Oryctolagus cuniculus: one gene and its partner. The protein of the gene in region 2 purifies or fractionates together with the protein of the main gene of each other region. This does not show direct contact. Links are inferred from orthologs where the notes say so. Each region holds a gene or a part of one and is shown on either strand. Other genes may lie near its edges. The genes, in order: COL5A1 and MMP2.

What was found.
Region 1: the proteins of MMP2 (region 2) and COL5A1 purify together in Homo sapiens (co-immunoprecipitation; 3 studies listed by BioGRID and IntAct, counting the BioPlex papers as one, with this or other methods). This does not show direct contact. The link is inferred for Oryctolagus cuniculus from reciprocal best matches to the Homo sapiens genes MMP2 and COL5A1.

Annotation. Positions count from the first base shown.
Region 1 is NC_091432.1:236,119,429-236,123,231, reverse strand, and holds part of COL5A1 (collagen alpha-1(V) chain), read right to left. Parts: intron 2,956-3,803; coding exon 2,818-2,955; intron 2,660-2,817; coding exon 2,417-2,659; intron 1,753-2,416; coding exon 1,579-1,752; intron 1,096-1,578; coding exon 1,039-1,095; intron 1-1,038. UniProt on the Homo sapiens protein: Type V collagen is a member of group I collagen (fibrillar forming collagen). It is a minor connective tissue component of nearly ubiquitous distribution. Type V collagen binds to DNA, heparan sulfate, thrombospondin, heparin, and insulin.
Region 2 is NC_091449.1:38,836,580-38,840,382, forward strand, and holds part of MMP2 (72 kDa type IV collagenase precursor), read left to right. Parts: intron 1-2,793; coding exon 2,794-2,903; intron 2,904-3,803.

The DNA of each region.
Region 1 (3,803 bases), on a different chromosome or scaffold from region 2:
GTGCATCCTGGTCCCTGGCCTCCAACTCCGGGCCTGCAGACGGCTCAGGCCGGGATGAGGATGTGTGAACCCAGTCCCACCCCAGTGAGGACGGATAGGTCCCATGCCGGGCACAGGCCGGGGGCCAGGCACAGAGGCGCCCTCTCCTGCCTGAGCCCTGCTGAACCCCTGGTCCAGGAGTCCCACCCCTCGTCCTGCCTGCCCTGGCCACAGGCGGCCCACGGTGTCTCTGAGAGCTAAGGACTGGCCAAGCACCATTGGTGGCGCCCAGGAGGTCTTCCCAGGTCTGCCAGAGGCCAGCAGGGCCCCAGGGAGCCCCCCAGGCTGTGTCCCCGGCTCAGCCCCCAGGGAAACAACTCCTGGCAGCAGAAGCAATGGCGTGGCCCGGGGCCTCGTGGCTGCTGTCGCCAGCACCAACACTCAGCCACGTGCCGGGCGAGGGCCTCGGCCGCCGCCCCTCCCTGCCCTGGCGGCCCGGCCTCTTCCTGCCCACACCACAGTGCCCACTGCACGCAGCGGCAGAGACGTGTCCAGCCCGACTGCTGGCGAGCGTCTGGCCCATGGCAGGGGTCAGGCCCTGACCTGGCAGCTCTGAGACCCCCGGGGCAGACACGGGGGTGGGGGGGACGAGGACATCCCAGCCCGGGGCAGGGGGCGGCACCCAGGGTTTGTGCACGCCAGCTGCACACACCAATGTGCCACCACCGCTAGCTCTCGGTCCACTCACCCCGAGCCCACCGCCTGACCGGCCCCAGTGTGGGCCCCGTCCTCAGCCTCACGAGGGCTGCAGAGCGGTGCAGGAGGCCAGGCTGTCCCACTGCGCCCCGCCCCCATCCGGCTCCTCTGACCCGGGGCACGAGGGACGCCGACCCTGCTCCACCAGCACACAGAGCTCTGGCCGATGTGGCTCCCACCGCCCGGGCCGGGGTCTGCAATGTGCCCCACAGGCGGGCCCGTCCGCGGGTGCAGTGGCCCAGCCCACAGAGGCGGTCACGCCCCGCAGAGCCCTGGCCCCCGCGAGCACGCGAGCTTCCTTACTGGTTCGATGATGGCCGGCTCCCCCTTCTGCCCTTTCTCGCCCCGAGGGCCTCCAATCTGCGGTGACGCCGGGCAGGTGCCGAGGACGGAGAGAGAACAGAAAGACAAAGTCACCATGGCCAGGAGACGCGGTGAGGCCAGGGCACCGGCACGGCGTGCGCCTCTGCTCCCACCAGCCCCCTGCAGATCCCGGGTGTGGGACAGCGGAGGCCACGTGGGCTTAGAAAACACAGCACCCGAGACTCCCAGAAGCCAACGCTCCAGACAACCCAGAGAGAAGCGAGCGGCACCCGGGGCTGTGGGTTTGAGAGAACAGCGGGGGTCACACAGGGTGGGGAGGGGCCTGGAGGTGCAGCCACAGTGAGCAGCCAGCCAAGCCCGCCGCAGTGCCAAGAGTGGCGTCTCTTGGGCTACGCCCACCTCAGCCTTCTGCACGAAGATGCAGGCCATGATAGCAACGATAAAGCAAAGCCAGGGACACGCGTGGGGCACTCCACCGAGCTGAGCTCCGGGGAGGGCCGCCGCCCCCGACCCACTCACCCCCTCGTAGATGGTGTCCTGGTTGGCCGGCATGCCGGGCCCGATCTCCGACGGGGACACGGTGGAGTCGGGGTCGTAGTAGGGGTCGTAGTAGCTCTCGTCCAGGTTCCTGATGGTCTCCTCAGTGAACTCCCCGTCCGGGTCATCCCTCCCTTCCCCCCCAGACGGGGCGGGCTGCACAGGGCGGGGAGGGCAGCAGGGTCACCAGGCTGGCACTGTCCCTGTGCTCCGCTCTGCCGGCACCAGGAAACCCGCAGAGAGCGCCCCGGCTAGGACGGCAGTGCTGGGGCCTCCCAGCACCCTGGAGCCTGCAGCCCCCGGGGGCTCCTTGCCCCCCCCCTGCTGTGGGAGACTCAGCCCAGGCAGGCCAAGCGAGGCGGGGCCAGGCCTGGGCACGGCCCACCCACACGTGGCACACCGGCTGGGGCTGTGGTCTCGGGACCAGGGGTCTGCACCCACTGGAGCCCGGGGTCCTCTCTGGGGGCCAGGAACCCGGCACTGCACAATGGCCACTTGCGAGCGCGGGCCCGAGCTGCCATCTTCCCCGACTGGAAACCGACAGCAGGCACTGCCCGTCGTCAGCAGGTACCCGAGCTCCAGGGAGGCCGGCTGGCGTCCCGGGGTCACGCAGAGGCCTTGGGCCGGTCTGCTTCCGCCTGGGGACCCCTGGCCTAAAGGGCAGGGCCGTCCCAGCCCACCTGCGGGTGAACCCCTGACCGCAGGAGCCTCCCCAGGACTCCCATGGTGAGTGACCGAGACAGGAGGCCCCCAGGGGCCTGCCCCCACGCCCGCCCCGCCCCCCCCCCCCCGGCCCCAGGAAGTAAGGATGGAGAAGTACATTGGAGGAGTTGGAGGTGACGGTGGTGCTGGTGGGGACTTCGGCCTCGGCTCCCCGGTCGGGCAGCTGCTCAGGGCTCTCCAGGCCCTCTCCGTAGCCAAGGTCATCGTACGGGGCAGGCGTGTAGTCGTCCTCTATGGGCACGTAGTCGTAGTCCCCGACACCGGGGGCCTCTTCCCTCCCGGCCCCCTCGCTGGCTTCGGGCGCCAAGGGGGCTTCCGTGGTGGGCGGCAGGGTCAGCTCCTGGGGAGAGCGGCGCGGTGAGGGTGTGGGCCGCGGAGGCAGGGGCGCCTCCCACGAATCCGTGGCTGGCGACAGAGTGGCCGCACCCCCATCCCCTCCTCCTCCCGGTGGCCCTGAGTGCCACCCCCGCCCGCCAGGTCCCCGCGGCCAGCCCAAACCTCAGGTATCTCTGTGGTTTCTCTCGCAGCTTCCACGGGCTTCTTGGTGGGGGTGGGGTCCTTGCCGAGGTCATCAGGGTCCTCGTAGTAGGGGTACTCGTAGTAATAGGTCTCACCCTCACCCTCTCCATCCGGGTACTGAGAGCAAATGCAGATCTCGTGAGTGAGGGGAGACACCGAGAGACCCCCCCCCAACCAACCACCACCACCGCAAAGCCACTGACACCCTCCGGGATCACTGCCTGGCCCAGCCCCGGGCATGGAGCTGCCCGGGGCCAGCGTGGGAGCCCTCACCCTCCAGCCCCCGCCCTGGGAACCCGAGTCAGCCCCAGGAGCCCAGGGGGCACAGCAATCAGAGGAAGCTGGACCCGAGTGTGACACGGGCCCCTTCAGAACACAGTGGCCGTGTGGTCAGCCAGGCCGTGGCCCCCGCCTGGCCCCGTGGCCATCGCCAGCCTGCCCTGCCCTTCAGCCCCAAACCCCAAGCCTGGGGGCCTCTGGGAGGGACAGAGCCGTGTCTGCCTCAGGTACAGGGAGCGCCTGGCTGGGGGACTCGGCGGGGAGCTGCCCCCAGCTCTGTCCCCGGAGGCACATGTGGCCTGGGCCACGGGACCAGACAGCTCCAGGAATGGCGCCCCTCCTTCCCCTCTGGGGTGGCCGAGGAGGTGAGAACGGGCTTTGAAACGAGAGTCAAGTTCAATGAGGGGGAGGCGGGGGCAGGGGGCAGGTGCGTGAGGAGGGCCCACGGTGACCAGCACAGGCCATGGGCCACAGGCCACGGGCCACGGTGAGAGGGACAAGGGCATCGGCCGCCACCAGACTCTCTCGGGACGAGGCCAAGGCCACCCCGGCAGCAGCTGCCCGCGCACCCGCCAAGGTCACAGGCAGAGGTCAGGAGGGCACCCCGGTGACGGGGGTGGCCTCGATAAAGTGCGGCAAAGGTCACGGGCGCACACACAGGGCTCACAGGAGCGGGCGAGCTCGGT
Region 2 (3,803 bases):
AACTCAGGGTGGCAGGCCCGAACCCCCCAGTCTCACAGTCTCACATGGCTGGCGACAGGCACTCGGATTGGGAGAGCCCTGGCGTCTTTGAACCTCGCTGTCAGAAAGACGTTCACAGTCCTGCTCTCGCCATGCGCTCTGCAGATGCAGACGTGCAGGAGAGACGAGTCCGTGTGTGGACGTGAGTGCAGTACACACACGCACAAGCACAAGCACACATACAGGGACACACTCAGGCACACACCAGCTCGGGCGGCGCCTCGCTGGGTTTCTGGGCGGTTAGGTCCTTCTCAGTCCTTGTTAGCGAGAAACCCTCGTCTTCAAGGCAGGGTCCAGGAGGGACAGCCTCCCCTACACAGGACGCTCCAAGAGACTCCCTTAGAAGAGGCAGGACGATGCAGGGGCCTGGCTCGGGCCCTGGGCAGGGCTGCCACAGCAGACGACTCTCTCCCCCAAGGAGAGCGGGTTTATGAGCTTGAGACACTGTCGTGGTATGGAGAGAGATGGTGAGCCGCTACCGCCAGCGTGCCAGGGAGAGCTCAGATTCCACTCAACCCACAAATATGCCTTCTGTGTGCGCTGTCCACCAGGCGCTTGGCTGGCTGCTGGGGAACTGTGAAGGAACGACACTGAAACAGTGAAGGCGGGAACTGATGCGGGCAGTCGTGGGCCTGAGCCTGTGCAAGCCCCCTGCATTGCTCACGTAGAGTGGCAGGTTGTTAGCCCCGTTTTCCAAGTGTTGCAGTTGAGGCTCGAGTGGCAGCGAGATACGGCTGTGCGGAAGCTGGGACCCACGTGTGTGTGTTCCTGACACCTGCCCCACCCTGCGTCTCCTGCAGCTGCAGACAAGTCCCAAGCGTTACAGGGAACCTGTTCAAAACAGTGCGTCAGCGAGTGGGGCTCTGACCAGGGGATGATGGGGAAGGAGGAGAGTGAAGGTCGTGGCTCCTGCAGAGCCAGCTCTATGATGTTGCACTGCTGAGTTCCTCCTGGACGTAAAGATGTTGGAAGCAAATTAGTTCATGAACCTCAGTTCATGAACCTCAGTTTCTCCAGCCAAAAAGTGGGGTTGGTTCTTTAGTTTTCGTTTTTACTTATTTGTTTGAAAGGCAGAGAGACAAAGGCAGATCTTCCATCCACTGGTTCACTCCCCCAAAATGCCTACAGCAGCCAGGGGTGGGCCAGGCCAAAGCCGGGAGCCTGGCACTTCATCCGGGTTCTCCCACGTGGGTGGCAGTGCACTTGCTGCCTCCCAGGGTGTGAAGAGCAGGAAGTTGGAACCAGAAGCAGAAACAGGACTTGAACTGGTGCTGTGATGTGGGATGCCTGTGCCCCCTGCAGTATGTCAACCATCGTGCCAAACCCTAGCCCCAGAGGGGTTGATTCTTGTACTCTCCACCTTGTGGGAGCAGAATGAGAAAGACATGGGAATGAGTTCCAATGTGAGGCGCCTGTATCTGAGCCATCCTGACTGTAGGGGCTGGACCGAGAGGTCGGGGGAGGGGGCGTGGACACTGAGCTGGGGAACTTGGCTTTGGTAACACAGGTCACGAGGAAGTATGTTAGGTTTTGCAAGAAACAGTCTTGTGATGCAGCCGGCGTTCAGGAAGGTCTCTCTGGCAGTTCTTGGGGGTGATGGGCAGAGGCATAGAACCCCAGTGGAAGGAGCCTATGGAAGGGGAGGCTGGTGTGAGACTCCGTGGAGAAGTGAGGCTTCCGTAGAGAAGCAGAGAGCCAGCTAGCAGCACTGTCGAGGAAGGCTCGGAGCCACCAAGATGGAATTCAAACACAGATCTGTCCAGAAAATCAGCGCCTCGGAAACTTGAACTTGGCAGGTCCACACTGGGCGCTCGTTAAGTATTTGCAGAACAGTGAGTCCATTGAGTTTAAGTGGAGTGGTGCAGAAATCAAAATGACAGCAGCATTCATTAAAAACGTTTTTCAGAAAGTCGAAAAGACAGAGGCAGAGCTGGCCAAGGAGAAGAAGCTGCCAGCGGGTGCCCCAGGTATTCACCGGCATTGAAGGTGGGGCCCCGAGTGGCTGTGCACCCTGACAGCTGCAGCTGCGACGCCCTGTGACACATAGGCTTTGGGCTCACAGCCACCTCCCGCACTGTAACCTCACTCTGCGAGCGCGGTCGTCTCCCAGGACGTGACTGTCGGCTCTGCTTGATAGATGAAGGAGCAGTATTAGATCTAAGAGATCTAAGTGACGGAGTCCAAGACCCGTGGAGCAGGTCCCCGGCCTTGGGGCTCCTGATCCAGGGCTCCTCAGAATACAGCAGGGGTCAGAGTTGGGAAGGAAACTAGCATTTCCCAAATGCTTCTTAAAGACCACACACAGGCTAGACCCTATTTTACATGCGTTATATTAAATACAATCCCATTTTACAGCTGGTACAATTGAGGTTTCAAGAGCAACTTACAGCCCTGGAGCCAGACAGGTCTGGCTTGGACTACCACTTAGAAGCCGGGAGTGCTTTGTAAGTCTCTGGTCTGTGAGATGAGGATGACAGTGGTAACTGTCATTAGACTGTTGACAGGATTGAGTGAGAAGGTGTATGGACAGTGACTGACACACCAGCCAGTGTGTGGTCAGTGTTAAAAGCTGTGTTAACATTGTTTTTATGGCATCGTCCAAAGTCATGACATCAGTAAGTGGAGTTGGGATTCAGATCCAGGTCTGACTCCCTGTCCTCCCGTGACCGCTGGCTGCCTCCCTGAAGGACTGAGGTGGGGGCCGCCTGGCCCACGGAGAGGCCTGGCTGGCTCAGCATGTCCGGTTTGTTACAGATACAATGAGGTGAAGAAGAAGATGGACCCCGGCTTCCCTCGGCTCATCGCAGATGCCTGGAACGCCATCCCCGATCACCTGGATGCTGTGGTGGACCTGCAGGGCAGCGGTAAGCAGCCAAGCCCCTCCCTGCTCTCTAGGACCCCTGCGCCGAGCCTGGCCACAGCCCCTCGCAAGCACACACGCCCTCATTGTGCAGGGCAGCCATGCCGCGGCCCGGGGAAACAAACCAAGCCCTTCAGCCAGTGCTGGGCAGGATTCCAGACCCCCGACCTCTGCTCCCTCTGCCGGGCTCCTGGGCAGCAGGGCCCCTCACAGCTGCAGGGCCTGGAGCCAGGGCCGGGAGGGGAGGGGCCCTGACAAGGGGGCGGGGAGCATGGGCCCGTGCCCTCACTCCATGCTGGGTCTGATCCTGGCTCCTTTGCTTTTTGCCGGAGGGCACCCGTTAGCAGAAGGATGCACTGTGCTATGCAAGCCACTCTATCCTGATCACGTGCCAGGAATCCCCCACCCGACTGGTGCTCCCTGATCCCTTGGTGAACGAAGCGCATCCAGTGTCAACAAGGCTGGGAGGGGCAGTCGGAAACCGTGTTCCCAAGGAGGCCTCTGTGAGCTCTCCAGGGCCCTGGAAATGAGTCGAGTTCAGCTGTTTACAAGAGATGTCAGCTCAATGCCACAAAGGTTTTCTGAGGCCCTGCCATAGGGCACGCACATAGTCCAAAGCTCCCGTGGCTCCAGATCTCACCTGTGCAAGAGAAAGCAATGCACAGTCAGGTGCGAGGTTAAGGATTACGTTCAAGGATAAACATCTGGGTACCAGGGCTTTCAAAGAAGTCAGTGGGACCATGTGAGTCGGGAGTCGCACATGGCAAAGCCTCCACAGGCCGGGCGGGCAGCACTAGTGAGGAAAGCAGGCGGTAGGGAGTGGTGGCATCTGTGGTGACCCAGAGAGCGCATGGCTCATTTGCAGGGGGCCTCTGTTTCCTAGTTGCTGGCCTGTAAGGATCGG